Linked DNA regions of Canis lupus familiaris. The protein of the gene in region 3 binds, or shares a complex with, the protein of the main gene of each other region. Links are inferred from orthologs where the notes say so. Each region holds a gene or a part of one and is shown on either strand. Other genes may lie near its edges.

The links.
Region 1: ITPR1 (region 3) and PRKG1 share a complex: the UniProt entries of both Homo sapiens proteins name them as parts of the cGMP kinase signaling complex. The link is inferred for Canis lupus familiaris from reciprocal best matches to the Homo sapiens genes ITPR1 and PRKG1.
Region 2: ITPR1 (region 3) and CNN1 share a complex: the UniProt entries of both Homo sapiens proteins name them as parts of the cGMP kinase signaling complex. The link is inferred for Canis lupus familiaris from reciprocal best matches to the Homo sapiens genes ITPR1 and CNN1.

What each region holds. Positions count from the first base shown.
Region 1 is NC_049247.1:36,003,236-36,006,885, forward strand, and holds part of PRKG1 (cGMP-dependent protein kinase 1), read right to left. Parts: intron 1,913-3,650; coding exon 1,790-1,912; intron 1,707-1,789; coding exon 1,644-1,706; intron 340-1,643; coding exon 273-339; intron 1-272. UniProt on the Homo sapiens protein: Serine/threonine protein kinase that acts as a key mediator of the nitric oxide (NO)/cGMP signaling pathway. GMP binding activates PRKG1, which phosphorylates serines and threonines on many cellular proteins.
Region 2 is NC_049241.1:50,228,072-50,230,861, forward strand, and holds the end of CNN1 (calponin-1), read right to left. Parts: intron 2,623-2,790; coding exon 2,556-2,622; intron 2,459-2,555; coding exon 2,321-2,458; intron 2,137-2,320; coding exon 2,026-2,136; intron 1,531-2,025; coding exon 1,384-1,530; intron 1,302-1,383; coding exon 1,056-1,301; 3' UTR 533-1,055; downstream 1-532. UniProt on the Homo sapiens protein: Thin filament-associated protein that is implicated in the regulation and modulation of smooth muscle contraction. It is capable of binding to actin, calmodulin and tropomyosin. The interaction of calponin with actin inhibits the actomyosin Mg-ATPase activity.
Region 3 is NC_049241.1:13,137,867-13,142,008, forward strand, and holds the start of ITPR1 (inositol 1,4,5-trisphosphate receptor type 1), read right to left. Parts: upstream 2,951-4,142; 5' UTR 2,704-2,950; intron 2,162-2,703; exon of another isoform or gene 2,098-2,161; intron 1,907-2,097; 5' UTR 1,836-1,906; intron 1-1,835. UniProt on the Homo sapiens protein: Inositol 1,4,5-trisphosphate-gated calcium channel that, upon inositol 1,4,5-trisphosphate binding, mediates calcium release from the endoplasmic reticulum (ER).

The DNA.
Region 1 (3,650 bases), on a different chromosome or scaffold from region 3:
ATGTATATTTAACACTTACTCTACTAAAGGTCCACTCTTATTCACACGCAAAAGATATTAGAATAAATAGTTTAGAAAGGTAATGGTAAAACACACATAAAACGACCATCCCCTAATTGATCTGTTTTTTTAAGCTTGGATTTTGGTATCACTATTCGAATGTGGTACTTTCCCCTATAGTTTATTTCAAGGGATCATAGGATGAAACTTCAGCAACTGACATAAACACCATGATGTGCATCACACGAGTATAAACTGGGAAGTCTACTTACACTTGGTATTATAGGAGGTGTCAAGGTGCCTTTTCTTAAGCCTTCCCAATTAAAGCCCTCAAACCATCTAGGAAAGAAAAGAAAAGAAAAAAAAAAGGCAGCTAGTTAAAGGCATCGTATCAGCTAAAACCTTCTCATCGCAACATGGGTGATGGACATGTCTGGAGGAAAGCCGCTAGGCAAACATTTTCTATGAGACAAGAGTGTATTCTATTTCATTGCACATTTTTATGGTTAGGTTTTTAAAAATGTGCATTCCCATAAAATAAGTTAATTATTGAGATATTTAACACCCATTAGAAAATAACTCCTTTCCTCGCAATTTCAGGAAGAATGTCTGTATGACCTTGTTCCTACAGTATCATTATAATTTAATAAGTGTCATGATAGCTTGGCCCCTGAGTCTTATAGGACTTTTTTATTTTAAGGCAGTAGAATCAGGGCATGAAAAGTCAGGCTAGAAAATTACCCTTCTAGTTTTGCACCGATTCAGTGAGCGGCTTCAGTTAATTAACCTTTCCATATCACCGTATTAGGTCTAACTCTGACTTGGCACTTTTTTGATGTGTTCATAGAAGAAAACGTTAAATATGCAGTATTAGGGTCATCATAATCCCTAATAGGATGTCAACACGTTTAATTAAAATAGACTTACGGTACTTGGTGTAGTTTATCTGCAAAAATGAGGACCCAATAACACTAAAGTGTTTCGTTTTGTTTTGTCTTTAGCAAATGCTAGCACCAAATTCTTAAGCAGGTGTTTCAGGGTATTTATAAATAGTTCGATAAATACGTTCTTCTGGTAGGGATGTGCATTTTCTGTGACTGTTATAAACACAGGCTAATTAAAAAAACCTAATTTGGTTTTAGGTTTAGCCTTTGACTCTCCAGTTGACTAAGTAAGGTTTAATATTTAAGATGCTGCTACGGTTTGAGGAAAAAAAAAAAAAAAAACCCACTGTACCCTATATTTCTTTTTTCCCTTTATCATCTAATTAGGAAGTGGTTGGAAAAGTCAATTCCAGTTTTAGTCTGGGAAATGAGGCATGCGATGGTGGGGGTCCTTTGTTTTTGATATCCTGGCAGAGAATAGAATCCCAGAATTAAAAGTACACATTTCCTGTTCATGCCAGAGAGGAGATGTGCCATTAGGGTGAGTTTGGAGAAACTGAATTCAGTGAATTGGTCACTTGGTATGGCTTAGGGTCATGTGACGTCCCTGACACACAAGCAGAAGGGCTTCCGATCAAAGGTCTGGCGTCCCCTTGGATGTTCCAGTAGGTAGGCCGAGTCTACCCATCACACAGCCTGGGGCGCCTGTCCGTGCTTTCTGGACCCTCCAACGGAAAGGGACAAGGAAAGAACACTCACTTGTGCTTCTGAATGTCTTTCACGCCGTTTTTCAAATTCCCTAATCTTTCTGATGGGTTATCCCTGGAAAGACAATAAGAACTGTGAGGAATCTCATCACTTTCGCATTATGAGCCTTTCACAAATCACGAGGTTGAAATGCTTACCTGCAGAGTTTTTTAATTAAGTTAGCAGCATTTTTGGCAATCTTCTTTGGAAATTCTATCATGTCAATCCCCCTCAGTATGATGTTATAGGTTTTCATAGGATCTGGGCCTGAGAAAGGTGGGCTGCGAGAATGAGACGTGAAAAGAGAATCACTTTTTGTCTTCTTTTTTATTTTTTTAAGATTTTATTTATTTATTCATGATAGACATAGAGAGAGGAGGGTGGGCAGAGACCCAGGCAGAGGGAGAAGCAGGCTCCATGCAGGGAGCCCGACGTGGGACTCGATCCCGGGACTCCAGGCCTCACGCCCTGGGCCGAAGGCAAGCGCTGAACCACTGAGCCATGCAAGGGATCCCCACTTTTTGTTTTCTAAATAAGAAATCTTAAATTGTTTATAACCCCACAGACGACATCGGTTCTTATCTGGGGACAACTGTTGGTAGTGGTAACGGAACGATACGAGATTCATAGGAAAACGGCATGGAAACCTTTTCACGTCAATCGCTTAGCAAAACCCCACGGGGTGGGGGGGTCAAGTTTGTGTTCTCCTCTTGTCTTTCTAGTGCAGGGGCCGAACTCCCCTCGCTGTCTTTGGCCATGCAAGATGCTGCTTCTACTTTCTGGCCCTTTCCTTGTAATTGTCAGTTCACTGATTACACCTGAGATGAATTCCAAACTCACTAGAGCGCTCCAAGGACTTCCATGATAAGGATCCATCTCCTGCCAACCCTACCCAGGCCCACTGGGATTGGGACACCATTTCTGGTCATGGAACTGATCCCATGACCTCCACCAACCAACATCAAGTGTAAATTCAAGTATTAGACTAGATTGGTGCATTATTATTATTTTTAAGGATTTTATTTTCTTAATGCAATCTCTGCACCCAACGTGGGGTTTGAACTCACAACTCCGAGGTCAAGAGTTGCACCTGATGATGGAGTGTTTCTGCAGAACAGTCCTCCTCCTGCCCCTTCCTCCCTGGTCATCAGTCCTCAGTAGGTAACCTGACGTGAGGCTTCCTCCTTATTGGGAAGGATGTCATAGCCAGGCCCCCAGGAGCCAGATCCATCCCTGGAGGGTGGCCTTGTGCCAGGGTCAGGGGACACGGAGATGATCAAGACTGCACCTTCCAGCAAAGTGATACAACCTGGACAAATACTTTCTTTGGAAATTATCCTAATTATTCTAATACCGAGTTCATGTCTCTTTGGGGAAACATGGTGCGGATTATTATTTTTGCCCACCACGTTCCTTAATAGCAGTTCAAATTAGTTCCTTTTAAGGAGCAAGGTGCAAACGATGAGTTGCTTACAACAGGGAGGAGCAGAGGTGATTTTCTGAAGGCTGTGATGGTTGTTATTGCCTTGAGGTGTGGTCCCTATTCTCTATGACAAGTACTTTTTAAATGTTTTAATGTGTCATTCATTAGCCAGTCGTCAGTTTTAAATCACTTTAAAAATGTATAAATATACAACTCTAGATCACAGTAGAACTTAAGAATTTTGATGTGATACGAAGTTGAATATTTCATTTATTCTCTTCCACTAGCCTTGCCAGTTTTGATTTCTACTTCACAAAAGATCCACTATGCTGTTCTTCCTCATTTGTAATCAGTTTAACATTTTTCTAAAATTTAGATACATATATTTGAATTTATATTCTCTTAGAGAAAAAAGGATCATTTGTTAAACAGGACTTTTGTGGTTTTTACAAGCGATGTATTTTCAGTCCAAGATAGCCCTGCAGCATACAAAACATAAAATTAGAGGTAAAAATCCTCCAGCACCCCAAAATATTAATCATTAACATAAATGTAATTTCAAACATTTCATTTCTTTGTGTCGAGGCGCAGACACA
Region 2 (2,790 bases), about 37 Mb from region 3:
GCTTCCCCATGTCCCCTGGAGGCTCCCTGTCTTCATTTTCCTGAGGGGGAAAACAGGCCTAGGGAGGGTGAGTTGCCCTAGGTGACCCAGCTAGTGGGAAGCAGGACCGTGATCCCATCTAGCCTGTCCCAGTGCTTGGGCTCTTTTTCACAACCCACAGGCTTCTCAGAAAGGCACATGAGGGCTGAGCATGTGTGTGTCGATATTGCGTATGTGTGCAAAGGTGTGTGTTGATGTGTCCTGAGTGGGAGTGCGTATTGTATGTGTATATCTGAAGGGGGAATATGTATGTGTGCCTAAGGCTGCAGAGTATGCACATACCATATACACAAAAGTAATGCGTGAGTGCAGATTTTGTTTGTGAGTTCCTGTCCTGGGTCCAGCCAGGTGGCTGTGAGCTCCATATGTGTATCTCATAAGTTTTTGTGTGTGCCTGTGACAATGTGCATGTGGGAGATGGAGTGTATCTAAGCAAGGCTGTTTGCACGTGTGCAAGAGCCACCCAGGCTCCAGGACAGAGCAGCCCTGAGACAATGATTTTACAGCCATTTATTGTGCTCCAGTGAAATAGAAAAAGAAAGTGCTCGCGTTAACAAACGCCGCTGTCACATCCACATATGCCAGTCGCTGCAAACCAAACCGCGTGTGTCCGCTGGGTCTCTGGGCATGCAGTTTGCTCCCACTGTGGGAATGGGGTGGGGGCAGGCCGAGCCTGGGCTCTGGGGGTTCTGCTTGGGGGGGACCTCTTGTCCTGGGGTACCCACCTGTGAGGGAGTGGGGGGACAGCTGGGGTAGCTTTGCTCAGTGCGTCCTTTGGGTGCTGTTGGGAACACCCGGCTCGATGGTGGATCCTGCAGCGCTCCAGGGAGGAGGGCCCCCTGCCCCCCCACACGCCCCCCAGTCTGTCCCCCCGAATGCTAACCCTGTAGGCAGGTGCCAGGGGGCTGGAGGACGCCATGCAGGGGGAGGGGGTCGGCAGGGCCAGCTCAGCCCTGCCAAGAGCAGCAGCCAGCCTCCCTGGGGGGAAGGCGGGGGGGGGGGGGGTGCCCAGGGCCCTAGGCAGAGTTATAGTAGTTGTGTGGGTGGTGGTTGTGGGCAGGCTCGCCCAGCTCTGGGTACTCAGGCGTCAGGCAGTACTTGGGGTCATAAACCTGACGCGGCAGCCCATACACTGTCATGCCCCGCTGTGAGGCCCCCTTGTTGCTGCCCATCTGCAGGCTGACGTTGAGTGTGTCACAATGCTCCATGCCCAGCCCTGGCTCGAAGATCTGTCGCTTGGTCCCGGGTGCAGTCATGCCGGCCTGTAGAGGGTGGATCAGTCAGGCTGTGGGGACAGTGGAGGGCAGGGGCACCCCAACAGCCCCCCAAGGTCCCCACACACACCTGGCTGGCTCCCTTGTTGGTACCCATCTGCAGACTGATGGTGGCCTGGTCCAGGGGTTGGTCCGTGCCCAGCTTGGGGTCATAGAGGTGGCGCCGGGTGCCATAGGCCGTCATGCCCTGCTGGCTGGCAAATTTGTTGGTGCCCATCTAGGAAGCCAGAAGGAGAATCATCCCAAGGCTTGCAGAGCCTCACCACGGGCCATGAGACATAACATGTCAGCAGAAACTTGCTCGGCCCTCCAGCGAGGCGCTGCTTCCCCTCTCAGGCTCCAGAAGCTGAGGCCCAGAGAAGGCATGTCACAGGAGCTGTAAGTGGCTCAGAGCACCAGGGCCTGACTTCCAGGGTTCAAGTCCCAGTCCCGCCACTTATTACCCAGACAGTCCTGGCAACTGACCTAGCTTCTCTGGGTACCTGTTTCCTCATCGGTGTAAAGGGTGTAAGGATAACAGCACCCACTCCTTAGAGCTGTCGGAGAAGTAAGTTAGTGTACCGAAAATGGCAGGCACGGTGCCCAGCATACATCTGCGTTAAAGCCAAATATCCTGTGCCCCAAAGCCTGCAGGGACCTGGGTGCCCTCCTGGCCTCCTTGACCTCCCCGCTCAGCACAGTGGCAGGACCCAGGTGAGGAAGGGGCCAGTACCTGCAGCCCGATGATGTTCCGTCCTTCTCTTAGCTTCTCGGGCTCAAATTTCCTTTCCTGCTTCTCTGCGTACTTCACCCCCACATTCACCTTGTTCCCTTTCGTCTTGGCCTGGGGAGGGCGAAGGGAGCAGGGACTCGACTAGAGAACCTCCAGGCCACACTGTCCCCTCCTGGCACCTGCTCTCCCCCTGCCACCTCCACCGGACTCGGGGGGCACAAGTGGCCCCACTCGCAGCTCAGACTGTCCACAGCCCCGCACCCCTGCGCCAGACCCCCCTCCAAGCCACACTTACCATGCTGGCCAGGGCCAGGAGGGTGGACTGCACCTGGGTGTGGTTGGTGTTCTCAAACAGGTCGTTGGCCTCAAAAATGTCATGGGGCTTCACCCCATACTTGGTGATGGCCTTGATGAAATTGCCGATGTTTTCCAGCTGGAGGGGGCAGGCAGAAGTTAGCGGGGCGGGGGGGGGGTAGCAGAGGGGGCGCGAGGTGGGGGTGGGAAGAGTTAAAAAGGATGTCTGGGCTCACCTGGTGCCAATTTTGGGTCGACTCGTTGACCTTCTTCACGGAGCCTGGCTGGAGCTTATTGATGAACCTATAAGGCGTCGGGGAGGGCAATGGGAAAGGTGAGCTCCCCTCAGCACCCACGCCCAACCCCAGGGGAAGAGGGGTCAGGATGACAGCTACTGGTCAATTTTTGCCATTTCCTACCACCTCCAGCTCAGCCAAAGCCCCCTGATCCACCCCGGTGGGGATCCCCTGC
Region 3 (4,142 bases):
ACACACAAGGAAAAAAGAAATGAAAAAGTGTTCTGCACAACTGGCCACAAACCAAACTGAAGAGTATATGAAAAGATACCGATACTTCACAGTTTAGACTCACTGCAACTTAAGCCATCAAATTATTCAGACTGAGAAATACCGGATTCTTTTAACCTGCTCAGATGCCTTGATGTAGATGATCAAGATGGATTTCAGTTATGACATGAACCCAGTGCTGAACTTAGACAATGTTCCTCGTGGTGTGGTTTGATTTCGTTTACTCTCCTCATTCAGGGTTTCAGCATACAGCTTTTACAACTTTCTAAAACAAAATCAGTATGACATCTGATACCTCCTCAAATAGCCACACTCTTATCCCTCCATCTACAGCCACATCGTTTCCCTTAAGTCAAGGTAAGTATTATTACCCATTCACCACTGGTGGGACATAAGTAAGATTTATGTCATTAACCGAAATAAGTTTATCATTTTTCCTGGCTTCTCCCTTCACTTCTTCCCAACTTAAATGTGTCTGTGGAACACAGGACAGTCCCACAACCTGGCGTTATATTCCTTGCTTCCACTGTGCACTGGCTACTACACAAGTGTTCCCATTCTCTCTACTCCTCAGCTTCTTCACCTATACCTGACTCACGGTTTCTGTGATATCTGGCTCTGGACCAGGCTTACAAGGATTTAATGTGTCAGTATTATTTTTAGCAACAAGTTGGAGAAGAGTCTATGGATCAGTTTCTCCTGGTCTGTAGCTTACTCAAAAAAGGGGAACTTAACCCTTTCCTTGGCCTTTTGAGTGCCCAGGTAGCCTTGAAAGTCAACAGAATTCCAAGAATGAACTATACCCCACACATCCAAATGGTTCCCACTCCACCAGCACTCCTACGGATCTTATCAACAGGAAACAAAAGCACTATACTACTATAATGAAGTGTCTGCCTTTTATTTTCTAATTTAAAAAGCCCAAAGATTGTAACCCAGGGAACAGCTAAATATTTAGAAGGTTAAAGAAGTTACAAAGAGCTGGTCCTCCACCATGTTATTCTGTTGTCTACCCTGTTCCTCCTGGCCTTTTTGGAAGAAAAAACTTGTGACGGCCAAATCTGCAGCAATGGGGATATATATGCAGCTGTTAAAACCTCCCTTTCTTATGGTGCAGAGTCTGATCATTTGGGGGGGGTGGGGGCGGAATGACAGGAGCTGCTTGTCTTTACAAATAAATGCTACCCTCAACTCATATCCCACAATAAGCACCCAAACAAGAGGGACTCATCAGATTCCTTGACATTCAGGCAGCTTCAAGTCAAGGACTGGATGCCACTCTCTCACACTTCAAGAACTTCCCTTTTTAAAGTACTAATTCTTTCAAATTGCCAGCAACCACTTTCATTTCTTGCAATCGAACCTACTCTGATTAAACACACATTACAGCAAGAAAAAAGTGACTATTTTTGAAAGAGGCAGTTAATTTTTGCTTACGTATCTTGACAGATGAAATGTACTGCATCCTTCTGAATTTAAATCATCAGCACACTGCCAGGCACCAATGGGCATTTCTTTTATCGCTCCATCTAATGGGTTTTCCCCCCTCCTCTCATAAATGTTCAGGCTGCTTTAAGTCTGAGCCTGGGCCAAAAGTGCTAGCTAGGCAGGACTGCCCTCTGGATCTCAAATGCTCCCTAAAGCTCTCACAGAAAGCAGTGACAAATTTTGGACACTAAGCCTTGGAGTTTGCTTTTCTTTTCTGCTCCTAATCTCCATGGCTCTTTAGAGAGGACATAAAATACACTTAAAACAAAAAGTCATTACTGACTCCAGCACTCAGGCTTCACACTCACCTGACCGAGGTCAGGCACTCTGTTGCCAAAACACTCCAGCTGTGCGAATCCTGCTCCTCCGAAGCCAGCTCCTAAGTATTTAGAAAGAAAGAAAACTTAAGTATAAGACCAGGAAGGCGGGCCACTAAGAGCAATGTTTCAAATTGCAAACTGCCACCTTCTTTAGCCTTCTTCCTGGAGAGACACCCCTGCCCTTCCCCCAAACAAGACAGGAAAGCTTGGAGGGATCAGTTGGACAAAGATTACAGGTAACTTTGCTTACTTATTCCCAGTATGTAACTGACAAGTGAGACTAGGCACGCAAAAACTTGGAACGTGCAAATCCCAAAGCACTTGTTTCCCAGAGCCTAGGCCAAGTTCCGAAGCCCGCATCCTCACTGGCCGTGAGCTCCGTCCACACTTCATCCCTCACCGCTCCCCGGCTTGTCTTCCGTTTTTTAAAAACCCTCCCCACTGCTCCCTCCCCCCCGCCCTCCCCGCCATGCATTTTTCTCCCAACCGTGCAGCTCGAGGGAGGGCTACTTTTAAAAGATTGTTTCCTTGAGCGGACTCACATATGACACCCCCCAACACACACACACACACACACCAAGAAAACACCATTTCCTGCAGCTGCTGCAACAGTTTCCAACTTGGGGGAATGCCATTCCAGTCCAGAATGGGTAGCCTTCAAGGCCAGTCACTGGAATCGAGGATTTTTGTTCAGCCTCAAACGAACACCCCAAAAATGCCCCCAGCTAAAGAACCCCCAAACGCATGCAAGTGCATGCAAATCCATCAAGAACTCCCGGAGAGCGGGGCAAAAACTTGGGCGCCCGGGGAGGGCAGTGCCAACTCCCCGCGCCCTCTGCCCGGCCCCAGCCGCTACCTTGGTGCCCGGGAGCCACGCCGGTTTGGGGGAGCAGGGCGAGGAGAGGGGTTAGCAGCCGCTGGGTAATCCCATGTCCGCGAAGAGGGAGCTCGTTCCGTTAGGATGGAAACGGAACACCCACACCTCCTCTGTGCGTGCGCTTTCTCTCTCTCTCTCTCTCTCTCCACCCTCTGCCTCCTCCTCCTCCACCACCACCTCCTCCTCTCCTCCCACCCCAGCGAGCTTGAGGAAACGCTTCAGCAGAACATCCACATGGTTACTGCACTTTGAAGCGGCGCCTGACTGCTTATATAGGCCGGGACGCTCCCTGGGCAATGTAGTCCGAGCCCGGGGTCGTGGCGGCGCCTGGGGCTAGGGGGAAGGACTACGAGTCCCAGAATCCCCTGGGCTCCGGGCTGGGCTCTAAATAGAAACGCGCGGGGACAGGGAGGGGCGTCCTGCGGGGCGTCGGGGCTTCGAATCCGGCTGCTGGCGGAGCGCCGGCGGGGCTGGGAGCCGGCGGCTCGAAGCCACCCCTGGGGGGCGCCCCGGCCCTTGGGGACGCTCCTCTTCCAGCTGCCCCCTACCCTGGAATCCAGGTAGCTCAGGCAGAGGGGGGCGGGGAGCAGCTCGGGTTTCTGCTTTGGGAAGTTTTTACGAGCTGCTACCCACCCTCCTCCTCCGCTCCCCGCGCCTCGAGTTCCTGAGCCAAGAATTTCAGAAATCCAGGGCACAGAAACGCCAGTGTTTGCGGTCAAGGATTAAAGGCGCGAGGTTGTCTTTATTTAATCTGCTCCGCCCTGCTCGGGTTTTTGCACAGAAAACTAACTGTGGGAGCGACGGTCCGCGCAGGCGGGGACACGGGCAAGCGGCTTGCGAGCCCCCGAGCTGCTGGTGCCCTTCCTCGGGCCGCAGGAGGTGGACGAACGCGAGCCCCCCCCCCCCCCCCAGGTGCGCAAATAAGGGAGCCGCGCGGTGCGGGACTCGCGGGCGCGGAGATCGCGAGGCACGCAACAAATACAAACCGCGACCTAGGTCCTGACCCCGCTTCTAGCAGCCCCTTTGCTCCCCGGAGCTGAAAATGCTTAAGTCAATAAAGCGCCAGCCAGAAAAATCAGGGCTTCGGGGAGAGCCGCTCGCGCCCGCGGTGCGCGTCCAGGCGGGGCGCCCTCCAGCAGCCCCGACAGCCGCGTCTGGGAGGAGGTGGGCTGCTGCCCCCTGCCAGGGAGCGCCTGGGCTCTCGAGCTGCGTGCAAGCTGTTTGGCCTTGGGAAGAAGGGCAAAGGCTGAGCTAAGAAGCAAAGGCAGCAGGCTGCTCTCCCTTCCTCACACGATAGGCATTCGTTCCACAAACGTTTCCCTGAGTGTCTCCTGGGTGCCAGGCACTGTGCCAGGCGCTGGGGCATAGTGGCGAGCCAAAACACTTCACAGCATCCCAGGCAGGCACTGCCTGCTGCG